Arabidopsis thaliana: one gene and its partner. The protein of the gene in region 1 interacts with the protein of each later gene in a pairwise test. Each region holds a gene or a part of one and is shown in the gene's direction. Other genes may lie near its edges.

The links.
Region 2: the proteins of AT1G25320 (region 1) and MYB33 interact in a protein complementation assay, tested with the Arabidopsis thaliana proteins (one large-scale study listed by BioGRID).

The regions. Positions count from the first base shown.
Region 1 is NC_003070.9:8,870,441-8,886,180, forward strand, and holds AT1G25320 (Leucine-rich repeat protein kinase family protein), read left to right. Parts: upstream 1-7,349; 5' UTR 7,350-7,547; coding exon 7,548-9,021; intron 9,022-9,105; coding exon 9,106-9,740; 3' UTR 9,741-9,948; downstream 9,949-15,740. Other genes in the region: AT1G25300 (Octicosapeptide/Phox/Bem1p family protein), read left to right, coding at 1,128-1,946; MEE8 (basic helix-loop-helix (bHLH) DNA-binding family protein), read right to left, coding at 3,684-3,767, 3,865-3,924, 4,014-4,079, 4,167-4,394; CES (basic helix-loop-helix (bHLH) DNA-binding superfamily protein), read right to left, coding at 10,075-10,170, 10,257-10,337, 10,445-10,513, 10,983-11,048, 11,135-11,304, 11,389-11,578; MYB116 (myb domain protein 116), read left to right, coding at 14,770-14,920, 15,066-15,180, 15,261-15,740.
Region 2 is NC_003076.8:1,831,624-1,847,429, forward strand, and holds MYB33 (myb domain protein 33), read left to right. Parts: upstream 1-6,211; 5' UTR 6,212-6,406; exon of another isoform or gene 6,407-6,743; 5' UTR 6,744-6,798; exon of another isoform or gene 6,799-6,879; 5' UTR 6,880-6,931; coding exon 6,932-7,276; intron 7,277-7,363; coding exon 7,364-8,330; coding exon of another isoform or gene 8,331-8,374; exon of another isoform or gene 8,375-8,512; coding exon 8,513-8,763; 3' UTR 8,764-9,104; downstream 9,105-15,806. Other genes in the region: GPAT7 (glycerol-3-phosphate acyltransferase 7), read left to right, coding at 3,483-4,064, 4,179-5,099; AT5G06110 (DnaJ and myb-like DNA-binding domain-containing protein), read right to left, coding at 9,386-11,377; AT5G06120 (ARM repeat superfamily protein), read left to right, coding at 13,174-13,180, 13,669-13,926, 14,023-14,183, 14,299-14,364, 14,832-14,949, 15,158-15,267, 15,380-15,475, 15,730-15,806. UniProt on the Arabidopsis thaliana protein: Transcriptional activator of alpha-amylase expression that binds to 5'-CAACTGTC-3' motif in target gene promoter. Positive regulator of abscisic acid (ABA) responses leading to growth arrest during seed germination.

The DNA.
Region 1 (15,740 bases):
TATAAATATGTTGTTGTGAAAATATTTTTATGAAAGTTTTTAAAGCAAACCAAACTTCAAATATTTAAATCAAAAAGAATATACATGTAGATATATAAAAACAAAAAATGATATACATGTCATTTACCAATATCTCTATTAGAGAGAATCTCTATTAGAGAGAATCTCTATTAGAGAAGAGAGAGAAAAGTGTCTACTTTACTAATTTATAAAAAAACTACCCATATTACAAATTATTTATAGAAAAAGTGTCTACTTTATAAATTATCTCTATAGAAAATGGTACAAAAATAAACCCAGTTAGCCATTTCCATTAGAAGTTCTAAAACTAAGAAAACTTATAATATTATCTAAACAATGAAATATAATTTATTTATTTTAATTTAAATTTAGGATTAGTTTTTAAAAAATCAGGATACAATTTTACAGAATATTTTATGAATTTAAAATCGGATTATCATTATTTCCCTATCTAGCTAGGTAAATAGTTTTTATCCCTAATTACTGAATAATTTATAAATAACTTTAACACCAATACTATCAATATATTATATAATCTGTAGATAAATTTGGATGATTAATTCGAATATACGCAATGTTACAAAAAAAACTGCACTTATCTTGTTTTGATCCAACCTGAAAAAATGTATGGTGCGGAACTTTCTTGATACAAAAAATAAATATTGTATTAATAAATTGATGTCATTTTTTACATGTATTATATTTTATATTTTTATTTTTAGTAATAATATTATAAATTAATTTACAGAATATAACTAATAATATATTTTGATTTATAGGTACACATTGCTATTAAATAGGGAGAAATGAAAGAAAATAAAATCTCCGGCACTTAAATCTAATGTTCTTGGTCTAACCAATAAAGAACTATGTTTATCAATCTTATTAATTATTAAAGATAAAATCGTTTAAAAAGAAGATAAACTTAATATTTAATTCCAAACCAAACAGGATGAGAAAATCATATTACTAGTCGAACTCAAAACCGAAATAAGAAACAGAAAACCCTAAATCCTCTCAAATATTGCCGATCTAAGTACTTCTTACATCTTGGGAATCTCTGTGTGAGTATCGTTGTTTTGACTCTCCAAACCTCTGTCGCCGTCATGGAACCACAACCGTCGTTAAATCCTAAGCTCCATCTGCTCTGTAGCTACGGTGGCCGTATAATGCCCCTCCCACCAGAAAAATCCCTTCACTACATCGGTGGCGAGACGCGGTTAGTCATCGTTCCACGTGGCATCTCCTTTCTCGACTTCTTCAAGCTTCTCTCCGACAAGCTCCTATCTGGCCGTTCCTTCTCTCTCAAGTACAAGCTCCCTAGCTGCGACTTCGACTCTCTCATCACCGTCTCCGATAACGAGGACCTACAGAACATGATCGCCGAGTATGATTCCACACGTTTACGGCGTATCCGTCTCTTCCTCTTCCCGTTAAATCACGTCGAGTTAACGCGACAGTCCGTGACTGTTAATCGGTTGCTAGGTCTCGAGTCGCCGATATTTACCTCTTTGTCTTCCGTTCTTTCCAGCCCGATTTTCGCGCCAAATAATGGTCCGGTACAGTTTGTCCATCACAACAAGGTCAATGCAACCACAGCAGAGGAGAATCGGAGACAGGACGAGGCGGCATCTACAACATCCTCCTCTATGTTGCCGCAAGAAAACACCTCCGCCGCTAATGATGTGGGAGGATTTTTAGATAGGGAAACAGAGATAGTTGAGATTCAAGACCAGCCACGGCCAATCCTTCAAGAGCCTTTGCCGCAGCAGCAGCAGCAACCATTAATAATCTGCTATTTACCAGTCTGGCAGATGCGACCACATATGGTTACTTATCCAGTGGCTGCTTATGCATTGACTCCAGCAACAGAACATTCTCCTAGGTTAGATCCTGTACCGGAAAATCAAGAAAACGCGACCTGATGGGAGTTTCTTTCACGTCAAGGTATCTTTCAATCCTTTTGAGTTTGGGAGTCAATTTTTGTTGTAGAATATAGCGTATGGAACACGTTAGGTTGATATCTCTTGGACCGTGACTGATCTTCCTTTCCATCAAGGAAGTTTTGCACCTTAAGGCCGGAATCTTTTTCTTTATATATAATGAAGGCTTAATAGTGGTTATGAATTAATTGTAGTTTAATTGTCTTATTAGCTCTATGATGATCATGAGATTATTATCTTCTAAAAAGAGTCAACATAATCATTGGATTGAATAGGGTCATTTGACTCATTTCTCAGTTGGTCCTATCGGCATCGGAGCCTTCTCTTCCTCTCATCCTAAAGCCCGTAATCTTCTGTCCAGGATCCGCTGTTATAATGTATATGCGGAAGGTGTAAATAATCTTTGGGATCAAGGTTCAACCTTTTTACAATACCTTTGACAACAACAAAATCTATCTGCATTGGATTTATGTGTAATTTGGATTTTGATAAATTTGCAAAGACTTAGATAGGTTATTTAGATATTATGTAGTTATTTCCATTATACTTTTTTAACACTATGTATTATTAGTTTATCCATAAAAGCTATTTTAATGTCAAAGGAAATAGAACAAGGTGTACTTGAAGATATTGGATTTGATGATTATCTTTACTCAAATTTTAATACAATTCTGAATTTAATTGAATATGTTATTATTAAAAAGTCTCCTCGATGATTTCTCACATAATATTCAAATATTAGATGTTGCTGAGTTAGTTTTAAAATTGTTTTATCAATGTTAAATAGTAGAAAGTAAGAAACCAGATAATTACGCCCACCAAAAAAAAAGAAACCAGATATTTACGGTATTTAAAATATAAAAAAAGAAATTCAGATATTTCTTATACAAAGTAAATACAAATATATCAAATATGGGTTTTATCATATGAAATTTGTTTAAAATGTGATAATATCTAATAACTTATGAAATTTGAAGAATAAGTAACATGAAAAGATAAATATCATATTAACAAATAATAAAAAAGATAATTATCAAGATAATCTATATTCTCAAAATTACAACTGATTTTGCTTTGTTTATAAATATAATTTTTTTAGAAAAAAAAACAAATTATTGGCCTCCCAATCTTTACCGAACACTTCATAAAACAAAATCTTTGTGGTATTTTTTTCATTTGTTTTGTTATTTGTAGTATTTTTCCAAAATATATAAAACAGAAATTTCCGTATTTTAAATACTTTCAATTAATCATAAACACATACAAATATTTAGATATAAGATCAATTCATCTAACACTTATCCTAATTTTTTAAATTGAATTACTTGTTTTAAGGATCATACACTGATACTAGGTCCGGTTGTTAACAGATTAATTTTTCATGAAGACCAAAACATATCATAAGGTTTTTATTAAAAGAAAATGGCGGACAGTAGGCGCCTAGTGTTCGAGTATTGACTGATCAAATCATTAACTTTTAATTTGCAAGATCCAGTAGTACTAAGTTCCGAACGGAATTTAATTAAAGATGGTCTCATGGCTAAAACATAACTCGTAACATCTAAACCAAAAACATACAATTTTATTATAACAAACAAACGAAGAACTGAGGCTAAAACATAACTCGTAATATTTAAACCAAAAACATACAATTTGATTATAACAAACCAACAAAGAACAACTGAGAAAATAAGAAAACTTAGCTAATCGAAACTTTTATCAAGTATCTATATAATACAAAACGGCACCAGCTTCAGTAAACAGTCTCCAGTCGTCACATATTCCCTGCGAACCCTTGTAATGCTGGAAATGAAGAGAAATTTAAAAACCAGAAAGATAAATAATCTTTAACGAACAGATCAGAGTATGGCCATAAAAAAAAATTACCTCCGAAAAGAACTGCAAGGCGCAAGTTGTTCGTGTACTCGATAACGCAATCAAGGATGGCGTTGATATCAGACTGTAAGATTATACGGAAAAAAAAAACATTAACAAAACTAACATTTCCCAAGAAAAAAAAATCAGTTAACAAAGGAAGCAGTTGTGAACCTGTGGGCAGTTGGGTGTAATTTCCTTAAGTGTTTCTAGTTGCCTTCTTATACGTTCCCGCCGTTTCTTCTAAGGTATCCAAAGAAGAGAAAAGAGTAAATCAAGAGTTTCTTGGGGAAGACGTATCATAACAATACAACTATTATTGGTTACCTTCTTCAACAAGGTATCATGATCAGATTTGTCTGAAGATTTAATCACGCACTGTGTCTTAACTCGCTTCTTCTTTCCTTCTCTCCTCGACTCAGCTGACCTCTTTTGCCCTACTTTCTCTACACCTTTTTCGTTGTTGATCCTACGCAAGTCACTATTCGCCTCTGGATTAGTGAGCGAGTATAGTATCTCAAACCATTGCCGAAGAAATACTTCGTCCTTGTTCATTCTTTTGATAGTTTTAAGTGATTCTTTACTGATAAGTTTGGCTGATTTGAGTTTAACGCAGACATGCTTCAAGGGTACTTATACAGGGAGAAAAGGATATATATGTAAACTACTCATGACGAGAAACAACAACGTTTGCCGCTCAAAAAGCTACTCTTCGTCACTAAGTTACTAATTCTTTAAATAAAATTACATTTATGTAAGGTGGACATCTAAGGTTCATAGATATAGCCAAGAAATGTAACGTGTCCATTTTTGACCTAAGTCTACGGTTTAAAAAATTAGAGATTTTGGAATGCAGGATATATACACACATAATACGACAATATTAGGACCTTACGAAGTCACGAGGCTCTTGTAATCGTTTACTCAGAACTCCACATGCATTAGGAGTACTCTACGTCGTACCTTTAATACAAATATTTAAATATTTTCGAGAATGATCTAATTAATCTAGTGATGTAAGTTACAATATTTCTGAATGGTACCTTCCGGTTTAGAGAGAACCTTGAGTTGCTAAGGGAGATATCCGGTTATAAAACGGTTCATGCGGCAACCTTGTTTATCATGCGGCAACCTTGTTTGTCATGCGGCATGATCTTTGTCAGCATTCAGCATGTATGTTGGGATTTAGACTTTCTAAAATCTTATCTAGCACTAAAGTTTTGACATCAGCCTTATTTGTCTATATGTATGGGTGACATGGTAATAATTTCTTTAACTAAATCTCTGGGATGATTTTTTAAATTAATTTGTAGTTTCTTTAAGAAGTTACACAACATGAGGTTATAACAATTTTACGTGACATATTTATAACTCACAAATGAACTATTTTTTGTTTTTTATATCTCAGGTGATCGTAAATGCTTTATAATCTCGGGATATGGAAAACAATGTTAAATTGAGCTATTTTGTTTTTGAAATATGAAAATTCATAGTTTAAAATTTACACAATCGATATAATATTCTACAGATTGAGAAATTTATTACCCGTATATAATGATAAGTAAGATTGATTTCAAGAACTTTTGGATCATGAGTCCCTCTATTTTGTTAGTCTTAGTTTAGGACTCTTCAGATTCAAAGTTTTATATATTAAAAAAGTAAATAGTTTCTAAACATGAGTGTTATATCATCGATCCAAACAATTGGTTTTGACAACGTTGCACTATTTAGGTAAAATATGCATCCATGGAAACCAAGATTAATAAACATGATGTTTCGAAAATATTAAAGAAAACTGCAATAGAGAAAGAAAAAAGAAAAAAAACACAAAGACCAAGTGAGATCATGTTATTGCGTAATACATGTGGATTGCGTAGTTTGGTAATGATGTTAGATAGTCTATGCGCTCCAGTGCTCCACAGCAACGGCTAACTTCTCGAACACACGCTCCTATTTTCAACGTGCCAAAGTTAGAGCCTAGCTTTGATTATCTTTTCTGGTCTATACTCATATTTTGCTGCTCCATGTATCCACCATCTCTTTTACTGGGGCACACTATATATATGTAAAGTGCTTTTACTGATAAAAAATAGTAAACAAAATGATATTTTAATCTTTTTACGTTCTCGTAGTATTCTTTTGTCCAGTCTAATTTACAAAGACTGAGAACATTCATTCTTCACTTAATATTATATAGTGTTGGTGCCTTGGTGGTATGGATGATTGATATGCTGAGAAAGCAAAGCATAAAACATAGGTCCAGGCATGTCTGTTCAATGTATGATATCTCTTTTAGCAACACTTTTCTTCTATCCTATCGGAACTGCAATTACTTTTTTGGTGTCATTCTCATTCATGTGCTTTATTTTATAGGAAATTTTAATTATTTGAAAGAAGTTTCTATTATTGGCTGTTAGTAAAACCTCTAAAATTAATCTCACTACTATGAATCAGCATCTATAACTTCATAGTATATCACCACCACAACTATGTTTTTTTTGTTAAATCCCAAACTGTTATTAAATGTGAAAGATCTTTAATCAAATACATATAGACAATCTCCATTTGTATAACCTTATGTTTATTTCCTTTTAGTTAATTAGCTTGAACTAAGTTTCACAAATTACATTTACATCTACACATTCACATGCACATACATTGAATATCAACTAATTTTAAAACTGATTAGTTAGTATACGTTCGGAGTAGCTAGACAACTATAGACATCATGATTCACATTTTTCAATAAATTGATTACTTGATGATACAAATGTGTGTGTTAACGGCTGGAAAACATACAAAGAGGGACATCATAGTTCATAAAGGTGTTCCCTTTATATATAGTTATACATAGAATGTGGGATAATCATGGAGCCGTACTAATCACTCTATTATTTTCTTTACAAAATAAAGTAGAAGTAGGGGTATTACTTTTTCTACTCCAGCTTACTCTTGTCTACTGCAACTATTATTCATTCGACTGGAACCATTAGCTCATACATATCTTGTATACAATTACTTAAAAATTTGTATTGTAAATGATAATCATAAATATACATTTTTGTTTGGTAATTATAATCATATTAAATATAGTTAATTGTTAAAGGTCGGTTAGTTTGTCTCATTCCTTTTGAAGTATGAAAATCACAAATTTTCATTAAGAGAAAACGAAAAATAACAAATAAAACAGCTTCTTTTAATATTAAAGTTTTTTTCTTGAAAAATTGTAATAATAATATGTGAGCTAAAAGTATATAAAAATTGGCATAAGTGCTCTTTCGTTATGATAAAGAAAGTGCATGAATTTCTCCGCAAGAGCTAATCTTTTGCACATTTGTCATCATCATTCTCAAGTTTTGTATTTTCCCATCATTCTATATCACTTAAACTATTCAACATTGATTTTAATTCACCAATAAATGAAAACAGAAATTTGTATAAATAAAAATACTAATAAATTGTTGATCTCAAAAAAAAAAAGTTGGGATATTTATAGATAGATACCAAAGTCCAAAGGTCCAACTTAGGAAGCCCGAATCTTCTATCAACGTCTCTCACAGTCCCTTTTCATGCTTTCACACTCTCACTGCTCTTCTCTCTCCAATTCTCTCATCAATCTCCGCAAACTCTTCTCATTCTTGATATCTCCATTACCAAAAGTAAACTCTTGTCCAAATTCTGCTACTTTTTTGTACTGATTCCTCCGAAATGTCGGTGGGATCTCTTTTATTCATGTTTCTTCTTATCTGGAACTTCAATGGCGAATTGAATGCTCTAAACGACGAAGGGTTTGCTCTTTTAACTCTGAAGCAGTCTATTTCAAAAGATCCAGATGGTTCTTTAAGCAATTGGAACTCAGAGAATCAAAACCCTTGTTCTTGGAATGGAGTCACTTGTGATGATAACAAGGTTGTTGTCTCTCTTAGCATCCCAAAGAAGAAACTTTTAGGTTATCTTCCTTCTTCTCTTGGTTTACTCTCTAATCTCCGTCATTTGAATTTGAGAAGCAATGAGCTTAGTGGGAACTTACCTGTTGAGCTTTTTAAGGCTCAAGGTCTTCAAAGTTTGGTTCTTTATGGGAATTTCTTGTCTGGGTCCATTCCAAATGAGATTGGTGACTTAAAGTTTCTGCAAATTTTGGATCTTTCTCGTAATTCTCTTAATGGGTCTATTCCAGAATCGGTTTTGAAGTGTAATAGGCTTAGGAGCTTTGATTTGAGTCAGAATAATCTCACTGGTTCTGTTCCTAGTGGATTTGGTCAGTCTTTGGCTTCTTTGCAGAAGCTTGATCTTTCTTCTAACAATCTTATTGGTCTTGTTCCTGATGATTTGGGGAATTTGACTAGATTGCAAGGAACTCTTGATTTGTCTCATAATTCGTTTAGTGGCTCGATTCCAGCTAGTTTGGGGAATTTGCCTGAGAAAGTTTATGTCAATCTAGCTTACAACAACTTGAGTGGACCAATCCCACAAACCGGTGCTTTGGTGAACAGAGGACCAACTGCATTCTTGGGGAATCCAAGACTCTGTGGCCCTCCATTGAAGGATCCTTGTTTGCCAGATACGGATAGTTCTTCAACTTCTCACCCTTTTGTACCGGATAACAACGAGCAAGGTGGAGGAGGGTCAAAGAAAGGAGAAGGTTTAAGTAAAACTGCTATTGTTGCAATTGTGGTTTGTGATTTCATTGGAATCTGCATTGTGGGATTTCTCTTCTCTTGTTGTTACTTGAAGATTTGTGCACGTCGTAATAGTGTGGATGAGGAAGGCTATGTGTTGGAGAAAGAAGGGAAAGAAAAGAAAGGTTCCTTCTGTTTCAGAAGAGATGGATCAGAGTCCCCTTCTTCGGAAAATCTTGAGCCACAACAAGATCTTGTTCTGTTGGATAAACATATTGCTTTGGATTTAGATGAGCTGCTTAAGGCTTCAGCTTTCGTTCTTGGAAAAGGCGGGAACGGGATTGTGTATAAAGTTGTCCTCGAAGATGGTCTAACGGTCGCTGTTAGGAGACTGGGAGAAGGAGGTTCCCAAAGATGCAAGGAGTTTCAGACAGAAGTTGAAGCAATTGGGAAGCTAAGGCATCCGAATATCGTTAGTCTTAAAGCTTATTATTGGTCAGTTGAAGAGAAACTTCTCATCTACGACTACATTCCTAATGGAAGCCTTACCAATGCACTCCACGGTAAACTATAAAACCTTTATGATAATACTTCTCATATCGTTTCTCTGTCTTGAAAACTCAATTTTGGTTTTTGTGTATGCTTAGGAAATCCTGGAATGGTGTCATTCAAGCCTCTGTCTTGGGGAGTTCGGTTAAAGATAATGAGGGGAATCTCAAGAGGGCTGGTGTATCTTCACGAGTTTAGTCCTAAAAAGTATGTTCATGGATCTCTGAAACTCAGCAATATACTGTTGGGACAGGATATGGAGCCTCATATCTCGGATTTCGGACTTATGCACCTCTCTAGCATTGCTGGAACATTGGAATCAACTACAGTTGACCGACCATCCAACAAGACCGCCTCATCGATTGGATCATCTGCAAACTTGAGCTCATTTTATCTGGCTCCTGAAGCCACTAAAGCAACAGTGAAGCCATCACAGAAATGGGATGTATACTCATTCGGAGTGATCTTGCTAGAGATGATAACGGGAAGATTACCGATTGTTTTCGTGGGTAAATCGGAAATGGAGATAGTCAAGTGGATACAAATGTGTATCGATGAGAAGAAAGAGATGTCAGACATTTTGGATCCTTATTTGGTGCCTAATGACACAGAGATTGAAGAAGAGGTCATCGCCGTGTTGAAAATTGCAATGGCTTGTGTTAGTACTAGCCCCGAGAAACGTCCACCGATGAAGCATATCGCTGATGCTTTGACCCAAATTTGCCTTCAGTGACTCGTAACAAAAACGGTTGCAAGTCAATTGTGTGTATGTAATGTGTTTAAAGGAAAAGTCTTACTGTTGTTGTTAGTTCCCCTTGTAATATCGAAATCTTATGTTACTTCAAATAGAGTTTCTTTGTAACATATAGCTTTACTCATTTTCATGGTACATACTATATGGATAAGCTTCATAATCATAAGGTTACACATTTATGATAAAAGTATACTGACGTCACACACAAAAGATAGATAAACCTATATATACTGATCATGGTAAGTCCTTATTTATGGAGTTTAATTATAGAAAAAGAGAATAATTTCTCTGAAAATTCATAATTTTCTTATGATCAAAAGGGTAATGTTGAACTGAAATTAGGAGGCTGTGTTCCAACGCTTTCTCTTAAAATCCTTTCCATCTCTGCTGCACTATGAATATTCCCTCCCTGTAATCATTTTTTTGTTAATACAAATCCATGAAAATGTTTTATCTTATTATAATTTTAATCATGTAATATTATGTGATAGTTACCTGAAATATATCCGTTGGCTCAATATCCAAAGAATTAAGGTCGTAACATGCACTTGCCGCTGAGAGTTTCATGGACAAAAACTGTAGTCAAGAGGCCAAAGCAGGAAAACATTTAAGTATTAGTGGGATATTATAAAAGTTAATGGGATGTTTGAACTTTGAAGAGTGAAATCAATGGCCTAACTAACCTCGATTTGATTCTGGAGTGATCGTACATAATCTATGATGACATCAAGCATCACTGCCATTCCCATTGCCTGCATCACGTTTTGAATTATCATTATAGAGAATAAACCCATTTTGATTTATTACTGTGGAAAAAAAAAATCGCTATACAAAAAAACAATCTGTTCATTTACGTAAGAGACGCTGCCACACCCTTTTAGATTTTGGCGTTCCGAAAAAACAAAAACAAAAACTAATTATTTCTATAGTTTTAAAATATTCTATCACATGATTCCTAATTTTTTACACTTTAATTCAATGATACATAGAAAAAAAATATTAATAGTTAAAGAATTGTGAGCTTGAAAAATTATCTTTAAAAAGTGTTTTTAAACCAAAAAATAGCACCAGAGTTACTTGGATTTAGAGGTAACTAATTTATCTAGAGTTACTTGTTTTTAGAGTTTTGTTGATTTTATTTTAATTACAAAACAAAAATTAGGGAGTTGTAGACAACAAACAAACAAAAAGAAATATTAGGGTTTGCGTTAATTCAAGTACCTTGTAGCATCCTGGAACAAGGTCTTGTAAGCATTTCAGCCTTTCATTGATCTTCTCTCTTCGTACCTTTATGCATTCCACAAAGAATCCAACACAACTAAGAAAAGTGAAGTTTTTTGTACTTTTGAGTATATATGTATTTGTAGAATTACCCTTTCAGCCAAACTATGGCTATCAGTAGCTTGACCTCTCTTAGCTCGGACATGAACAACATCTTTTGGCTTCTGAGTCTCATCTCCATTCATGGCTTCTTCCTCTTCCGACCTCTTTCTTCTTCTCTTCGACCCACTCTCTTCTTTATTTCCTTTTCTTCTCGTATTACCTGCGATTTCTAGCTTCATCAGAACACACATAAACATAGATATAACAGTTTTTCCCACAAACAATAAAATTATAAAATTTTCACCGTGCAATAAATTTGGGAAGAAGTGAGAATTATTGTGATTGGCATCAACTAAAGCTCCATTGGAGAAAAGCATGAAACTGGAAGGGGTAGAAGCTGGTAAGTCCAGATTTATTAGCTCTGGATTTTGGTTAATGTGTGCAAAGAAAGGATCATGACCATTATTATAGTTATATGGCTCAAACCGTGCCATTAGAGACACTACAAATTAAATCAAAATATGATTTCCTTTTTGTGAGCTAGTTTTGTTTTTTTTCTTTCTCTAAGACAGTTATAAAACTTGCAATTGAGTTGTGATTGTTTATATAGATAGAAATGTCTAAGATGGGGTGAAATATTTAATAAGTTAAGTTTTTAAATGATTTGGTTATTTGCTCATGTATTGTGTGACTTTTGGTGAGAATGAGAAAGAAGCGTGTGAGACCAAAGAGACACTCGTAGCTAGGTTTCCATTTATCACTGTGCAGTAGATTTTGTGGGACCCATGTTCAATGTTAGATATATCTAACTTGTCGGGACCTTTTGAGTATCCCTTTTAATGTAACAAGTATGGTGCCAAATTGAAACCGAAGAAATTGCATTAATGATCTACGAGCGATCATCACAAGTTTTGCATTATTAGGCTATCGGACAAAACTTAAGTACGACGACTTAACATTAAGCGGCTATCTCGGCTAGTTGCCGGAAATACTTACATTGTTTTTGGTAAAACTTTTGTTTTATTATTATTATTATTATTATTATTATTATTTAAAAAATTTGGACCATTTGTGTTTTTGGTAAAACTTAAATCGATATTGTAAGAAAATAATAAATATTGTAAGAAAATAATAAGATTTATATAATATTTTCTCAAAATAAGTTAATATAATATTTTCTCAAAATAAGTTAAGTGTGAGTTTTGAAGTGGTCTAGGCAGTTTCAAAGACTTACAGAGGCTGTAGATGGCAAAACTAAAATAACATAGTAATCAAAAGGATGCATATCTTAGTTTGAAGGTTTGGATGGTTGGAAGAGACTTAAGAACCTAGAGTGGATACGATTATTTTCTCCACAACTGTTACGATTAACATGTGATTAAATTTTTCAATCAATGTTTTAAGTAAAGAAATTAGGAAATTTGACTTTAATGACATGGATATGATTGTGAGGAAGCAGAAAAATCCAAGCCCATCTCCATTGATAAAGATTGGCTTTACTACTTTCCATTTTCTTACATCAATAATGAGGCAACTATTCAATTACTAATAGTTCTACGTTGGGAATATCTCGCTTTCACATTAATTTTGTTTCGTTTCCCCTACTTTCATTTTACCTTTACGTTACTTAAAAATGGTCAACATAAATTGGACAATCTCTTTAATAATTTCCTATGCCTAATATGTATTACTAAGGAAAGAGGACTTATTCATGAAATTTTATTTACTGGGCCTTTCTAGGCCCACCTTTTTTTAGCCCATAGAAAAATGGGGGAGATAATAATAAAGGGGCGACCACAATTGAACCAGACCAATAATTTGAAAAAAACCGACAGGGGAGTGGTGAATTCAACCGGCCATTGAGAGCAGTCTTGCAGACTTCCAGTAAAATCCTCATTGAGCCATTTATTCCTAATTATGATTTATGATTGCTTTTGTTTTTGTTTTTGTGCCTAAAGATGATTGTTTGTTACCATAGTGTCGTCCTCGGATCAAGTGGGCTCTAAAAACGTCACGAGTCGGCATTATAACACCATCGGCAAGTGTGATAGTCCAACATCTAGGTGTTGGCGACGAGTCCACATAATAGAATTTTGGTGCATCTTTTTTGAGATTGATGGGATCAGCTGACCGAGTTCATATATATATATACTCATTATGTTTTTAAAGATAGATTTTTAAAGAAAAAAAAGTCTCTATAAACGTTTTATGTTATCAATACAAAATTTAGAATTTTTTTCCTATTTTGCTCTTCATTAATCATTACTACATGGTTTCTAATTTTTTGTAAAAAAAAAAATTCAGTCGTAAGACTAGTTTTTTACATTAATTAAAAGACACATTCCAACATTCTCTCTTCCCTCAATGCACCGAATATATAATTACAATCTTTTGTGTCATCAAATAAAAGTATCATTTTTATGTAAAAGTAAATATGTAAAGTTAAAATAATCATTATATATTATCTCTTAAATAACGTGAAATCTCTAAAAACTTCATCTTTGTAAGAAGGATAAAATATATTTTTTAACTAATCACTAATGAGTTTCCACACAAAAAAACTGATGGGCACAATTTACCACTAATTCTATATTTGGAAATCTTAATTACTCTGCTGTCTCCACCCCATGTTGTCTCTATTCTTCTTTCCATGTGTTTCTATCTTTTCACTTTTGTTCTGCCCCACTAAACTTATCTTGAAATAGAAGTTGTGTTATTCAATTATCCATAAAAACGAATTTCTTTTTATGTTTCTCAGTTCTCAAATTATCAAGAATTTGAGAATGAATAGTATCCAACTATCCAAGAATGACACGTGTTGCTTTAGAGTATCTTAATCCAAGATGGTGACTTCGCGGTGCCAAGATATGATTGATTTTTAATACGTCGAACTTAAATGCCTGTACTTTTAACAAGTTGCAAAGCCTGTTCTTTTAGCTCGTTATTACTTCTGATGTAGTTTTAAATAGATGAATTATTCGTTTCTGTAACCAATTTTTTAAAAACATTTTTTGGTTCATGCTTTCACTAGACCCCGGCCGTTTTGCCTTTTAACAATGTGTGTGGTGAATTCACAAACACATATCTCATTAAATATAGTATACAAGACTCGAATTCAGCATCTACCCCTATATAGGTTCAGAAATGTATTAAATCATAGTAAAAATTGTTTTTCCTTTTCAAATTGGTTTTCTTAAAACCAATGATATCTTTTTCTTCATTGTTAGTTCTATGAAAAAACTACGTACAAGCGTAGAATTACTGACTAGTCTCTACAACATATCGTCCCTGCATAACAAATATATATAGTATATTTATTTATAACCCTTAAAGTGTAAATAACTATTAGAGTGGAAAGCATAAAATACAATAAAACAAATAATTATATAAAAGAAATGATATAATGTTAATTTTAAACAATTCCAAAATATATGCGTCAATACTTTAAAATTTCTAGTGGTTGAATAATCATGATCTATATAAAGAAAGTACGAACATTATCCAATATCACGAGTCTATAAATTCCATACAACCATTGAATTCACTTTCACTTCCCAAATCATAAAAGCCTCTCTCTTAGTCTATTTTTATCTCACGGCTCTCTCTCCCCTCTCTACACACACAAACACAAATAAAGCGTAAAACTGAAATATTTTAATTACAATTAGAAAGAGAACATATTAATATGTCAAATATAACAAAGAAGAAGTGTAATGGAAATGAAGAGGGTGCAGAGCAGAGGAAAGGGCCTTGGACACTCGAGGAAGACACTCTTCTCACCAATTACATTTCCCATAACGGTGAAGGCCGATGGAATCTGCTCGCTAAATCTTCTGGTAATATTCTTTTCTTTTATGTTTTCTTTGTACTATTCCAACAAAATGCAATTGGTGAAAATGTCTTCCTCCCACTTCATATTTTTGTATTAAAAGTTTGATCTCTTTTTACAAAAAAACAAAAAAACAGGGCTAAAGAGAGCAGGAAAAAGTTGTAGATTGAGATGGTTGAATTACCTTAAACCCGACATAAAGCGTGGGAATCTCACTCCTCAAGAACAACTTTTAATCCTTGAGCTCCATTCTAAATGGGGTAATAGGTAAGTTAGTTACTCAAATGCTCTCTTTAGCTTTATAATTTTCTTATAATCTAACGTGTAACATGTTGCTTCTTAATTAGGTGGTCAAAAATTTCGAAGTATTTACCAGGAAGAACAGACAACGATATCAAAAACTACTGGAGAACTAGAGTCCAGAAACAAGCACGCCAGCTCAACATAGATTCCAATAGCCACAAGTTCATAGAAGTTGTTCGTAGCTTTTGGTTTCCAAGACTGATCAACGAGATTAAAGACAACTCATACACCAACAATATTAAAGCTAATGCTCCTGATTTACTTGGACCAATTTTACGAGACAGCAAAGATTTGGGTTTCAACAACATGGATTGTTCCACTTCCATGTCAGAAGATCTCAAGAAAACTTCACAATTCATGGATTTTTCTGATCTTGAAACCACAATGTCCTTGGAAGGATCACGAGGGGGTAGTAGTCAATGTGTGAGTGAGGTTTATAGCTCCTTCCCTTGCCTAGAGGAGGAGTACATGGTGGCCGTTATGGGCAGTTCAGACATTTCAGCATTGCATGATTGTCACGTGGC
Region 2 (15,806 bases), on another chromosome or scaffold:
GTAAGGTACAAATTAGACACTATAGTTAAATTACATTTTCGTTTTTTTTTTTTGGTACGAGTATATATGTTGTATGGAATACATATATGTACGTCGAATTTTCATAATATCCAGTACGTGTCTAGCTAGTGTCTCTTCTCCTAATATAAAATTTGATTTAGCTTATTTTCTGGGGGTCTGCATCGTGGCCTACATTTTCATGCTTGTTTTGGGCAAGCCCATATTTTATTTAATGGCTTAAAGTGCCTTTTAAATTTTCTTCAAAAATCATTTATATATATGCTTAGGACAAACTAGTCTTTTTTTCCTTATTTCTCAACTGTTAAATAGTCTTTAGGCTTTACGGAAATGATAAATAATTGGTTGGGATACAAATGCAGCCATTTTGCATGGGGTGACACAGACAAAAGGTACAGTGTCTTAGAAAAGGTCAATCTCCAATCAACTTGGTTGTACATTGAACTTCTTTATCGAAGCCAATCCAGATTTTTCTTTCCTTATTAGTAATCAAACCGAGAGATATATACTATTTGATACGAATAGAAATTATACATCAAAACAAATAAAAAAGTCTTTTTTTTTTTTTTTTGTAAAATGAGGAAATCAAAGCCTAATGTTATACAAAATCTATAATAATTAGCATTACTCCGATCCACACATAGATTTCTGGTCTGATTTAGAAAGATTTCAAGAAGTTGTTGCTATTTTCTCTCTTTTGAATATATTAGTATTGCTAATCATAATAGATCTCATAACAAGATAACATTAGCTTTATCACTAAAAACCAGAATATTTAAATTGTTCTGTGTATGTAGTTGTTTTCATTTGTTGGAATCAAACGCTGTCTGATGTCGAAATTAATCAAGCCCGCATCTAGATGCCAGCACACTTAAAATCAAAAATACATTTTCTCGCCAATTACTCGTCGGATTAGACAATAGTCATATAGAGGTTATGAATCATCCTCCCCTATATATATCTACGACTATGTTGTCTTGATAGATCAATAATTATTGATAACCTAAATGTCTAAATTTAGTGTCCATTTGATTTTAATCAATCTATAACTGTGATTATTATATTTATAATTGGCCCTTTCTTTGTTTGCCACTTATTGTGTTGGATGCGCAAAATAAGAAAATTAAACACCAAAAAAAAGTCGGCGACTATGACCCATATGCCAATAACATTGAACCTACTGTTGTAAGTGCTCCCTTGCAAACCTCATTGTAGCTAGTTTTTATTTTCTCCGTAACTTTAACGCATTCAAAAGAACCACATTTTATTATTGTTTTCCAAAAATAGGACACTATATTTCTAATTAAAACCAGTTAAAGAAACCTTCTTCCTAAACATTTCCTTACAGAAATGATGTTAATTTTATAAAACGTGTTCATATACTAATGGAACTCGAAATACCAAATGAGCTAGAAAATGCAGACTAAGACCCAAATGCCAATAACATTGCAAAACATATTTGGATACAGCCTTGGGAAGATGTAGTCAAGCACGGAAGAAACAAAGAGACGTACAAAAGGGAAAAATGGGGCATTGGGATTGGGACTAACGAGGCGTTCACCGATGGTACTTACCACTTTCTACTTTCGAGATAGCTACATCGTTTGTCTTTAATCACGCATGCAATCATATATTAATTAGTGACATTATTTTAATACGAATTATAACTTTAACATTTCATTCTTCGTTTCTATATGATATTGTTATATGTGAATCCTACGAGCCTAGTCTTCCTGTATGTGCGTGTCATTAGGCTCATTCATAATTAATTCTCGTTTCTAGCTATCTTTTGTTTTGGTGGGTCTTAAAGCCTATTGCCCAACCGGTGTCATCTGTTTTATGGACTAAATTATGAAAACATTTTTAATTTGTATCTTCTAGAACTTCGTTAGTAGTTATATAACACTACCCCAAAGAAAAATAAAACAGCCAAGTGACGGACAAAAACACAACAAATATTCTTTTTGCTATTATAGTGACCTACGGATTACGGATGGTTTAAATACTAGCTAGTTGGTGTAGTCGACCGATTTTGTTCACAAATTCGATTATTACATTGTTTTTAACATTTCAATTTGTTGATATGTATATATATATATATATATATATATAGCTACGTACCGATTAGTTGACCTATATTAAAACCGGTCTAGTCGTCGATTATTAGAAGAATGAATTATGTATGTGTCTCGATGAAGCAACGTACCATTTGACTTTAGTACGTATATAGACTATAGTATAACTTCAAGAATCGCACATTTTTGTTCAGATATGTTTCTCATGCAAGTTGTTGATTTTCCAACCTAATTTTAGTTAACATAGTCACACCTGATTAAGATAGAGAACAATTGGAAGAAGCAAAAAACCTCGCACCAAGTCAACGACGAAGAACTAACACTTTTAAATATGGAAACTTTCAAAACTTAAGAAAGGATGTTAGGGAAAAACATTTATCGTTTTAATTACCACATCTTGTCTTGCCTTTGCTGTGCAACATTTTTCATTTTATTTAGTTAACACTATATATTTTTAATTAATAATTGGGAAATTAAATAAATGTTCAGTTTAATAAATAAAAATATTATTTATTCATATAAGTTTTTCTATTACATATAGAAATTCTTAGTACCGATTGCGTTCAATTGACAAAGTCCACCATAGACTGAAAAGAAAAAGAAGCCCAAGAGAACCCACATATTTGATAAACCAAATTGAACCACGCAAGCAAAACGTAATTATTCGATGAATGTGAAAACGGTCAAATGAATCAAATATGTTAAAATTAAGGGCCGAATATCCACAAAGTACTATGATGATGTGACGGGATGTTAAACCTGTCGTCTGTCGACCATATATAAATCTGTTAGTACAAATGCCAACAAACAAATTAAATCTGTCGATCATACAGTATTTAATTTTCCGTAATAATACACATGCCAACAAAGCAAATAAAGGGTCCGTTTCCTATTCTCACAATCTCCACACACGTACATGTTACACGTGTAGACATATGGACACATTCCAAATGTACGCGCATACATAATATGATCTTCATATTTTTAGGTGTACACGTGACCTAATATTGGCGCAGCCAAACCGAAAATTCGGAAAATCAAGTTGGTGAAAGTTAAGCCATCAAATTGTTTCGATTCGTTGATTGTAAATCTTACGTGTAGTCAATATAAAAAGGAATCAGAGAACACGTACGTGACATTCAGTATCTTATCTTATGTGTTCATACATTGACCTAAACTAATTATTAATTAAATTGACATACAAATTAATGCGTTCATAAACAAAAAAAGTAGTTGCGAAACTGATAAACTGCCGTGTTATTGCATTAGAGACAAATGACTCCAACCAACCTTATAAAAACAAACTTTATAATCCACAATTTTCCATATTCAAACAAATCAAAAACTCAAGAAACCACACACCCAAAAAAAGAAACAAGTTAAGTTGTGATGGAGTCATCAACTACAACATCGTATTCAGTTGTGTCGGAGCTAGAAGGAACACTACTGAAAAACCCAAAACCCTTCGCCTACTTCATGCTCGTAGCTTTCGAGGCTTCAGGACTAATCCGTTTTGCGACCTTGCTGTTTCTCTGGCCTATCATAGCACTCCTTGACGTTTTGGGCTACAGAAACGGTAGCCTTAAGTTAATGATCTTCGTCGCAACGGCCGGTTTGCACGAATCAGAGATTGAATCAGTGGCTCGAGCGGTTCTTCCCAAATTCTTCATGGACGATATCAGCATGGACGCTTGGAGGGCGTTTGGTTCGTGCGATAAGAGAGTCGTTGTGACAAGAATGCCACGAGTTATGGTGGAGAGATTCGCTAAGGATCATCTTAGCGCCGATGAGGTCATCGGTACAGAGATTGTCGTAAACCGTTTCGGTTATGCTACCGGTTTGATTCAGGAAACCAATGTGGACCAATCTGTTTTCAACAGTGTGGCTAACTTGTTTGTGGATCGGAGACCTCAACTAGGTCTAGGACGACATATTATCTCGGATTCTCCAACTTTCCTATCTTTATGTGAGGTAAGTACTAAAGACAACATAACGTTAGGAATTCTTTTAGGTTGTTTTATAATTTATGAAAGCGTTACTATCATTTTTCTAATCTGAATGATTGCATATGTTATGTACATGTAGGAGCAAGTTCATGCACCAGTTCCATCGAACTACAACGGTCATAACCAGCGGCTACATGTGCAGCCGTTACCAGTTATCTTCCACGATGGACGACTTGTGAAGCTACCAACACCAGCCACCGCACTCATCATCCTTCTTTGGATCCCCTTTGGAATAATTCTAGCCATGATTCGGATATTCGTTGGGTTCTTACTTCCATTATGGGCCATACCTTACGTCTCACGGATATTCAACACTCGATTCATCGTAAAAGGAAAGCCTCCGGCACAAGCAACCACCGGAAACCCAGGCGTACTATTCGTATGCACTCATAGAACTCTAATGGATCCGGTCGTATTATCCTATGTGCTCGGACGTAGCATTCCAGCTGTTACCTACTCTATTTCTCGTTTATCCGAGATCCTATCTCCGATTCCAACCTTTAGGTTAACTAGAATTCGAGATGTAGATGCGGAGATGATCAAGAAAGAACTGTCTAATGGGGACTTAGTGGTATATCCCGAGGGAACCACTTGTCGCGAGCCGTTTTTGCTGAGATTTAGCGCGCTTTTCGCAGAATTAACCGACAATATTGTGCCCGTGGCAATGAACTACAGAGTTGGATTCTTTCATGCGACTACCGCTAGAGGCTGGAAAGGTTTGGACCCGATCTTCTTTTTCATGAACCCGAGACCGGTTTATGAGGTGACGTTCTTGAACCAGCTCGAGGTGGAGGCGACGTGTTCGTCAGGGAAGAGCCCTTATGACGTGGCTAACTATGTACAGAGAATCTTGGCAGCTACGTTAGGCTTTGAGTGTACTAACTTTACGAGGAAGGATAAGTATAGAGTTCTCGCAGGGAACGACGGAACCGTGTCGTATTTGTCGTTTCTCGATCAAGTCAAGAAGGTCGTCACCACTTTCAAACCTTTTTTGCATTAATTTACAAGTTATTTTGATAATTATATACTCTAAATTACGCGATCACTGATTGCTTAAGTTTTCATTTTTAAAGATTTTTTTGTTGAAAGTATATTATGACTACGGTTTTGTGTTTTTTTTTTCCTTACTTTATAAATTGTCGAATGTAATCGCAAGTATATTAACCTTTTTGTTAAAAGTTGAAATTAAATACATGACAACGTTTTTACATATCTTTCAAAAGAGAGCCCAATAGAATAATTTCCTTGGGACATTTTCGCTTTATGAAAATACGTTGACAAAATTGTCCAAATATTCTATATATCTAACTACTTGTTAGTTAAATTTGGTTATGTTTAATTTACATCACATCTTAAAAGAATGTATAGAATTGTTTTCAATCATACAAACTAAGGGTGAGAAAAATAATGGTTGGTAATGCACAGACGATTAATAGTTTGGTGGTGGTAGCTAAGAAATTGATTAAGGAAACTTGAGCTGCAAATATCATCTTATAACTTTTTTGATCAAATAATAGTTAATTGCGTATTTGGTTGGATGATGACAATCTCTTTGACCGCCAAATTTTTAGCTGCCGCCTTCCCGTTAGAGTTGGCCAACTTTTAGATTCGCCACATTAACAAAATAGTTAATAGTACATGCTTCAGAAAACAGTTAACATTATAAAATTTTCTAGATTAATTAGGTTAATAATACTAAAGAAAAATGTTTTATTTGTTTGTTTTATTCTTAAGAAGAAGAAACGTAATGGGCTTTAGTATCTCTAACTTGAATTCTGTTGTGGGCTTTTCTTTAGGATCAGAAGTAGGTTTCGTAAGCCTAGTGTTGTCCTTATACGGGAATATACATACGTATAAACATACGACACAACATGAAATGAGATAAAGAGAGTGACCAAAAAAGGCTGCAAAAAGGTGACCAATTCAACTCTATTTCTTTCTTACAAGTTACAACTCTTTCAAATCAATTATTCAATCTCACTCTTTTACTATCTGAATGCATTTCAGTTAATAAACCAAAAGGATTGTCTTCATAAGCTGCTTTTATTTTTGCTTAAGCTTTGATTTAGTAAAAACTCTGATTAATTTTTAGTAACATAATTACAATGCTAATAACAATAATAAAATAGTTAATTTTCACAAGTTATCGTATTATAATATATTTAAGAAAACGTTTTAGAAAAAGAAAAATGGGATAGAAAGTAGAAAAGAGTAAAAGGAAGAGAAAGAGCTAAGCTTCTCTCCCTCCTTCCATTTCCACTCGATGTTCAGCTGCCCAAGCTAAGCTCGGATCTCTATCCAGCTTTGGTATTTTCCTTAGCCTTGAGCTTCTCTCCGCGTAAATATAATTTTTTGTTTCTAGATTATCTTTCCGTTTCTATCTCGAATTGCTGCTTTTCATGGATCTATGATTGATTAGTCCTTAGGATCTTTAAAAACTTTCAATTTCAGCTTAGATTTCAAATCAGGTTTTCTGTTTTTTCATATTCATAATCTGATAGTATCTTCTTTGTGCGTTCTGATCTATTTCAGCTGATCTTTATCTGCGCTTTCGATTGATGTTTGCATCAGCTTTGTTGTTGATCTTCTTCGTAATAGACTACTAATCTTCTCAATCTAATTTTTATTCTCTGTTGGTTTTCAGGTATCCAGCGTCTGACAGTTCTGGATTTTGTTTTTTTTTTCTTTCCTTATTTAGGGTTTGTTTTCCTCTTTCGTCTCTTTTAATTCTTTATGACTATGAACTTTCTTTATTTCAAGCTGAAGTTTTTGGTGTTTAGGTGGGAGCTTGATGTCTAAATTGTTACTGTCAGTGGTTTAATTAGAAAAGAGATGAGTTACACGAGCACTGACAGTGACCATAATGAGTCACCAGCTGCTGATGATAATGGAAGTGACTGCAGAAGTAGATGGGATGGTCATGCTCTCAAGAAAGGCCCTTGGAGTTCAGCTGAAGATGATATTCTTATTGACTATGTGAATAAGCATGGTGAGGGTAACTGGAATGCTGTGCAGAAACACACCAGCTTGTTTCGTTGTGGTAAAAGCTGTCGTCTAAGATGGGCTAATCATCTGAGGCCAAATTTGAAGAAAGGAGCTTTTAGTCAAGAAGAAGAACAGCTTATCGTTGAATTGCATGCCAAGATGGGTAATAGATGGGCACGTATGGCTGCACATGTAAGTGTTTTGTTTCTGATAAGGATATGGTTCCTTTTGTAAAAGTGTGTTTCGAGACTAATTTCATAGAGTTTTTGTTTGCTCCAGTTGCCTGGCCGAACGGATAATGAGATAAAGAATTATTGGAACACTCGTATCAAGAGGCGACAACGAGCTGGTTTGCCACTTTATCCTCCTGAGATGCATGTTGAGGCACTTGAGTGGAGTCAAGAGTATGCCAAGAGTAGAGTTATGGGAGAAGATAGAAGACATCAAGATTTCTTGCAGCTGGGGAGTTGTGAATCTAATGTCTTCTTTGATACTCTTAATTTTACCGACATGGTACCTGGTACTTTTGATCTAGCAGATATGACTGCCTACAAAAATATGGGTAACTGTGCAAGTTCTCCTCGATATGAAAACTTCATGACACCAACAATCCCCTCCTCGAAGCGACTTTGGGAATCTGAGTTGTTGTATCCTGGGTGTAGCAGTACCATAAAGCAAGAATTCTCGTCGCCTGAACAATTCCGGAACACATCTCCACAAACGATTTCCAAAACTTGCAGCTTCTCAGTTCCTTGTGATGTTGAGCATCCTCTCTATGGAAACCGACATTCACCTGTTATGATTCCAGATAGCCATACCCCTACGGATGGCATTGTTCCTTATTCTAAGCCCTTATATGGGGCAGTGAAGCTGGAGCTCCCTTCATTCCAATATTCAGAAACAACATTTGACCAGTGGAAGAAATCGTCATCTCCTCCACACTCTGATCTCCTTGATCCCTTTGATACTTACATTCAGTCTCCACCACCACCAACGGGGGGAGAAGAGTCAGATTTATATTCAAATTTTGATACTGGTCTGCTCGATATGTTGCTTCTGGAAGCCAAGATCAGAAATAATAGTACAAAGAACAATTTGTACAGGAGCTGCGCTTCAACTATTCCATCAGCTGATCTTGGCCAGGTTACTGTATCCCAAACTAAATCCGAGGAGTTTGACAATTCCCTTAAGAGCTTCTTGGTTCATTCCGAAATGTCCACACAAAATGCAGATGAAACTCCACCAAGTGAGTTACTATTCACCTTACCATCACTTGAAATAGTTTGTTGAAGATTTCATCTTTTTCCCTAGAATTCTATTTGGTATCCTGATTTTACTTTTTGAGAATCATCACTTGCATTAATTTGTTTCTTATAGCCGAGATTTTGAGCTGATCAAGAACTCACCTAAACTTAAAAAATTATGCAGGGCAGAGAGAAAAAAAGCGGAAACCTCTCTTGGATATAACAAGGCCTGACGTTTTGCTTGCATCGAGCTGGCTTGACCATGGTTTAGGGATTGTGAAAGAGACAGGTAGCATGAGCGACGCACTCGCGGTTCTCCTTGGCGATGACATAGGAAATGACTATATGAATATGAGTGTTGGGGCATCCTCAGGAGTTGGGTCTTGTTCTTGGAGCAACATGCCACCTGTCTGTCAAATGACAGAACTACCCTAACGAGCCCGGGAAATCCTCCACTCCATTGGTGGTGTGGATTGGATTAGAGCCGTTCAGAATCTGTCAGTTCTCACTTCTCATGGTCATGGACTAGCAACTGCCAATGCAAGAACAATATCTTTTCTTTGAGCCTTTTGATCACAGCCGATACTTTGTTGGCTTCTGTACCAATAACCCATAATGACGATTCATCAGGAGGATGAAGTGGTTGATTTTGTAGAACTGGCTTCTTTAAGGACTATGGTATACATACAGACAGTTGATTTGATTCAATGTTAAACAGAGAATTGTTTCTTTTAATATATTTCTCTTTGGATTAAGTTTGATTTCGCTTTGGTTTATCAACGACTCCCTTCGGCTATTCGTTTGTAGACTAGATAGAAAAATGAAAACAAGATAACACCAGACGATCAAAAAATTAAATAAAGACAGAGAGCATAAATAAAATTAGAACAAAATAGATAAATAAGAATAGATTCGGTTGTCAAAAACTCTATGTAGAATAAGAGCAGCATGATGATGTATACGAATTACGAAAATATGAATTGTAGCAAAAATTGAGTCCACGCTCATCTCTGTCAAAACAAAATCTCAAAGCGTGCAGCTCGAGGAATCGGATAGGTTAGGCTGTGGGTTTCTTGGTTCTGATGACGTCCTTAAGATCAGCAAACTTCTTCTTGCATTGATTCATCGTTTTCCCTGGAACAGCTGTTGCTACTCTCTCCCATCTTTGGTTTGTCTCCTTTGGGAACGTCTTCAAAGCCTGTACCAGAGCTCTTTCTTGCACAGCAGACCAACCGTCTGGGTCTGAACCAGATGCTGCTGCTGGTTCAGAGTTGCCGTTACTGTTGTTGTTCTCTTTGGTCTTACCGTTCTGTTCTGCGGTCTCTGTTTTGGTTGAGTTGTTGTCTTCATGAGCTTTGGTCGGTATAATTGGTTCTCCGAGTTCCTCTCGTGTAGAGAGAGGAGAGTTGATTGAAGCGGCAGGTTTCCTATTCTCCAGAAAAGAGTCAAAAGCTTTAGCTGAGTCGGGTTTCTGGAGAAGTACTGTTTTAGTAGCCTTGAGAATTTCCTCCACAGATCTTCCTGTACCAATGTACTCTGATATGACTTCCCATCTCTGAGATGTTCCTTTTGGGAACTTGGTTGTTCCTTTTCTCAGCATGTCAATCTCTTCCTTGCTCCAAGGTTTCTCTTTCTTCTCATGAGTAGCAGTATCCACTTTGGCTTCTACATGACCATTGGCTTCTACATGACCATTGGCTTCTATATGACCATTCTGCTTAACAGCTACTTGAACTTCTTCTTCTTCAATCTCTATTTTATCATCATCAATGTTGCTCCCATTCTTGATCACCTTTGCCAAAGCCATCCCTTCCTTGTTTTCCATCTTGTCACACAGTTTCCGCAACTGCTCGGTGTTAAGTGACATGCATAGATCTTCCACATGTTCATCAGATATGCCAAGCAGACGCTGGGACAGAACAGGGGCGGAGAGAACTCTGAGCCGACTTCGTTCTTTGCGCAGAAGCTTCTTCTCTCTTTCCTTGGCTCTCTTGTGCAGCTGAGCAGCCTCTGCCGCACGTTTTGCTTCTTCTTCTTTTCGCCTTTTCTCTTCTTCAATAGCTGCAGCAGCAGCTTCTTCCTGCTGCCTCTTGGCCATAACTTTTGCTTCTTTCTTCTGCAGCTTCTTAGCCTTTTCGTCATCCTTTCTTTTCTGTATTCTTATGTCTTTTTTATATGCGTTGTCCACAAGAGTCCTAATCCGAGCATATTCCTCCTTTCTAGCCTTCTGAGTTTTTCTTGCATTCTCTCTCTCCATCCACCTCTTTTCCTCGCGGGATTCAGCTTGCTCGATATCATGCTCCTCTTCTTCAGGAAACTCTCTCCAGCTTTTAAAAGTGTACCAAGTACTGTAGAACCTATCAACCTCTTTAAGTGGTGTATTTTCATCTCCCAAATCTGGTAAAGGCGAATTTGACCACCTTGCGTTTCTCTTAAATGCTGGACCAAAAACCTTGAAGAAGTCTTGGGGAGCACAATCAGTTGGGACTTTGTCATCAAACTCATCTGTAGAGTCAAATATTCTTCTTTTTGTTGAGTCCATCAAAACCTCATAAGCTTCTTGAATCAACTTGAAGTGAGATTCTATCTCATCCTTTTTGGCTTGTTTTGCTTCTTCTGTCTCCTCAAGAAGAAGTAGAGTAGCCAGTTTATCAGGGTGATGCTTCAGTGCAGCATCGCGATAACTTTTTCTGATCTGATCATCTGTTGCAAGATATCTTAAATTGCCCAAACCCAACAACGCATAGTGATCATGTTGTAGCTTCCCCGACTTCTTCTTTCCTTTGATGTTATGGGAGTCATAGGAAGGAATATATTCACCATCCTTCTCCTTAGGGACCTTCTTATCGGTATCTTCGTTCTTGCTTGTGGCTTCCTTAGCACAACCACGCAGTTTGAGAGCAGCAGAATGGAAGGCATGACCCGCAGGTTCACGGTTTAAAGCCTTCACAGGATGACAATTGGAAGAAGCATAGAGCGCTTGTCCATCCTTAAGCTCACTGGAGTATGTAAGTAGCTTAATAGCAGAGTTAATTCCCCAACTCTGCATGATGAAATATGTGTCAGAGCTTCAAGTCCACCTTGCTTCAAAAGTGATCACCAACGTTTATTCCTGTAACAAAGAATCAAAGTACAGTTATATACAGAAGCAGGTATATTTCCATAGAAATATTGACAGGATACAGAAACTACAGATAAACTTATATGAAGATAGAAACTTTTTTACTTTAGATCCACAACCCCAGGATATTTCAAAACGACTGTCTTTGATTAGAATAAGGGACAAAGTAGTTAGATGCACAACAGAACGAAGCAATCAAAACCAAGAGAACAGTGTCACAAATCCAAATAATCCACAAGACCTAAAGGCATTCACAAAAGCCTTATAAGAAACCAGAAGCAGTAAATACGTATTACAACATCCTCTCTGAAACTTGTCAACGGAGGTTGAAACAGAAGCGAGTCAACAAACAATCAATAACTCAATACATAGCTCCTAAACCCTAGTTATAGTTACCCTACTTAAAATCATCAACACAAACAATAAACATAGAAACCCTAAGATTTCGTCTTTTAGGGTTTACCTCTTCAAGAAAAAATAGATACAAAGTCAGATTTTTTAAAGCGATCTCAACAAAATCGACCCAACTCAGAAAAGAAAAACAACTTTTCTCACCAGAAAGTGAGCTTGCCTTTGCCTAGATTAGCCTGCCGTAAGTTTCTCCTAAGAAGTTATCGCAGTCCAAAAGAGACGACGAAAACGAGAAGAGTTCAATAAGTTCAGGAGGAAACGGCGGCGGCAGCGCAAAGAAGAGGAAGAGAAGGAGAAATAGAGAGAGACAAAGCAGTTTGCTTAAAAGTGGGAAGTATCCTAAACCTGTTTGACACACTCTTTTCGATTTTATACTATTCAACACAACCAAGCCCTTATTTCTTTTTAAGCCCATTTTACGTATGGTCCTAGGACCATTAAATTAGGCCCATATTGAAACATCTCTCGAGCCAGAGAGAGAGAGAGGTGAGGGAGCATCTGAACCAAAAAAAGAAGTTAATATAATCGGTGAATTCTCTTCTTCGGCGTTATAAACGCTGTCATCGCCTGATCAGACTGCACGTCTCTTAATCTTCTTCTTCTGCTTCGTTGTAACCATCGACGCTTCGCTTGATCGAGATTTAGTTCGCCGGAAAACTTCACCGAACAACAAATCTGATTAACTACCAGCTCAATCTCTGGTAAGCCAAACTTTAGTTTCTCACATCGTTTGCTTTTTCCGAGTTTTTCTCTTGCTCGATGGTTTGTTCTTCTTAATGTTGTGATTCGTGAAGTTGTGAAGATCGATGATAAATCTTCTTCGTGTTTGTTTGCGCCAAATGATTAGGATATTATTGAAATACGAAATCTAGGTTTTCTATGTGTTCATTTCTCCTTACTGTTTCCGTTTTCTGTGCTCAAGTGGTTATGATTATCCTTGCACAGTATCGAATGGTTACCACTGCTATTGTCTACATACTTCGTTTATTGTTTCATCAACACATTTTTCATTGCGCTTTCATAAAATCAGATAGGATTTAGCTGTGGCGGAATGATACTGTAAAGTCTGAGCTTAATATCGTCTAAGAGTTTTGTTTCTCTTCCATTTCTGCTGTAATTAGCTTATATAGCAGCATTTTGATAATGTGTGGTCTCACTTAGAGTTGTGTGTCAGTCCGGCGTTTTGTATGACTAGTATGAGTATTTACATGGGTGGTTTGGCAACTGAATTTTGATTTTTGGCCTTTAAACAGAAATCAACCCGAGTACTGAGCTGGAGTAAGGTGATAGACAGCTTGAATACATTTTCCATCATGCAGAGTTAGGAACTTATCTCTGCCAGTAGGCTTTTACATATTTTTCTAATACTATTTGTGTACCTTCTCTCTCTTGCGCTTCTTTGTAGTATGAGATCTACATGATATTTACCGCTAGCTCACTTGTGTTGTCTGTGTTAACTCATACTGCACTTTTGTCATTGTTAATGTTGTTCCATCTCTGTTTGGATCTTGGTGTTTCAGTTTTCTTAAGAATGGTTGGTTGCGTTTACTGTGGAAATGTATCATTTGTTTTTTTTCTCCTGCAACCTGTTTGCCTTATTGTGATATTAAATTTCCAATCCAATTCTAGATATTTTGATTGAAACAGTGAAGGCTCTCTGGAAAATATTATTGTAATGATTCATTCATGTCTTTTGTTGCCACTTAACAGTTCTTAAATCAGAATACTTTGTAATATAATTGTAATCTTGTCAAAATATTCTTGTTAAAACGGTAGTGGTATCTATGGTTTTCTACCTTTTTGGTCAGATTCTGCTTTGTTACCAATGGAGAGCTTGGCGCAACTTGAGGCAATGTGCGAGAGATTATACAACTCACAGGATTCAGCTGAGAGGGCTCATGCTGAAAATAGTCTGAGATGCTTTTCTGTGAATACGGATTATATATCACAATGTCAATACATTCTCGACAATTCATCAAAACCTTATTCCTTAATGCTCGCTAGCTCGAGTTTGTTAAAGCAAGTAACTGATCATACTCTTCCGCTGAATCTTCGCCTTGACATCAGTAAACTTCTTATGTCCTCCTAACCAAATAACTAGAATATCTCTTTTTGGCATTTAATATCTTACTTGTTTCTGGTGTTCTTTCTGTTGTCTTTAGGGGCTTATATTGTGAACTATCTGGCTACAAGAGGACCGAAGATGCAATCATTTGTTATCGCTTCTCTCATTCAACTGCTTTGCCGGCTCACAAAGTTTGGATGGTTAGATGATGATAGATTCAGGGATGTGGTTAAGGAATCTACAAACTTCTTGGAACAGGTGATTCATCTTCTGGGGGAATACAGTGCTTTGTGGACATTTTTTTGTAGAATTTTCAGATATTTTTAACAAGGGCTTGCTGAATACGTTGCTTACATCAATTTTATTTCAATAGGGTTCCTCGGATCACTATGCTATTGGTTTAAGAATTTTGGATCAACTTGTGCAGGAGATGAATCAGGTTAGTGATGTATTGTGGTTGATTTTCCATGTCACAGACATGTCCTAACATAGGCTGGAATAACTCTCTTTTAAGTTTGAGTTCTTGGCATGTATTGCTAATTGCATTTGAGTCATGTTTTTGTATATTAGCTTTGAGTTGCCTCATATTTTTGTTTCTTTTCGATCTAGAGTAGCAGTCTGTTATAGATACAAGTGGGAGGTTTGTGCTGTATCTAAATAATTGTCTGTTTTCACCATTCCTTTATTTTTTTAATTAAAAACATTTAAGATGGCTGTTTTGTTAGACTGGCCAGAATTATATGTGCACAGTGTGCATGCTTTTAGATAGATAGCGTGTCACAAACTATATTTTTTCGAGGGTATTTATTTCTAACTTTTTGTTTTTCTACTGTGTTCCAACTTACCAGGGTATTTTTTTTAAATGCTTATTGACATTTTTTCATCCCTTTTTTGCTCAATTCTTAGCCTAATCCAGGACTGCCATCTACACATCATCGGCGGGTTGCATGCAACTTTAGGGATCAATCCTTATTTCAAGTTTTCAGAATAGCTTTGACGTCATTAAGCTATCTGAAAAATGATGGTAATATGAGTCATCTATGTCAAAATTTTCGTTATATTCCGTCATGCCAAGTATGAAAACTTCTACATACCAGCTTCATAATTTATGCACATTGGAATGTTTTGTAATCGTTAAGTATGTAACTATCTTTGTCGATGTATATCTGTTGGTCTTAGCATAGGAGTGGAAATTTTCAATTGTAATGAGTCAGATATTTTCTTTTAACCAGCCGCTGGTCGTTTACAAGAATTGGCGCTTTCTCTTGCACTGAGGTGTGTATCATTTGACTTTGTCGGAACTTCAATTGATGAAAGCACAGAGGAGTTTGGTACAGTTCAGGTTGAACATTAATGATCTTCTATCTTCAATCTCTTTTCAATGCTTTGTGCCTATGTATTTGTGTACTCGTTTTTAAGGGGTGTTAACTTCTAGTGTTACTGATAATGTTTAGATTCCAACTTCCTGGAGGTCAGTATTGGAGGATTCTTCCACGCTGCAGATATTTTTCGATTATTATGGTAGTACAGAGTCCCCTCTTTCGAAAGAGGTATGTCTTTATTGTTATTTGTTTTTTTCCGTGCTTGACTAGAAGAAACAAAATGGCATCTTTTGCATCAAAGATAGATTTTGACTACCTTTTTTTTGTGAATTTTTTATTCACTCTCATTATGAGGACAAATGATTCAATTGCAGTAATGTCACTGATGACGTGATTTATTTCATGTACAGTTGGGACTCAGTAGGTATTATAGATGACTTACAATTTGTTATTTTTTAATGTTTCTCTGTTTTAACTTCTAGGCACTTGAGTGCTTGGTGCGATTGGCTTCTGTAAGGCGCTCTCTGTTCACAAATGATGCTACACGCTCTAATTTTCT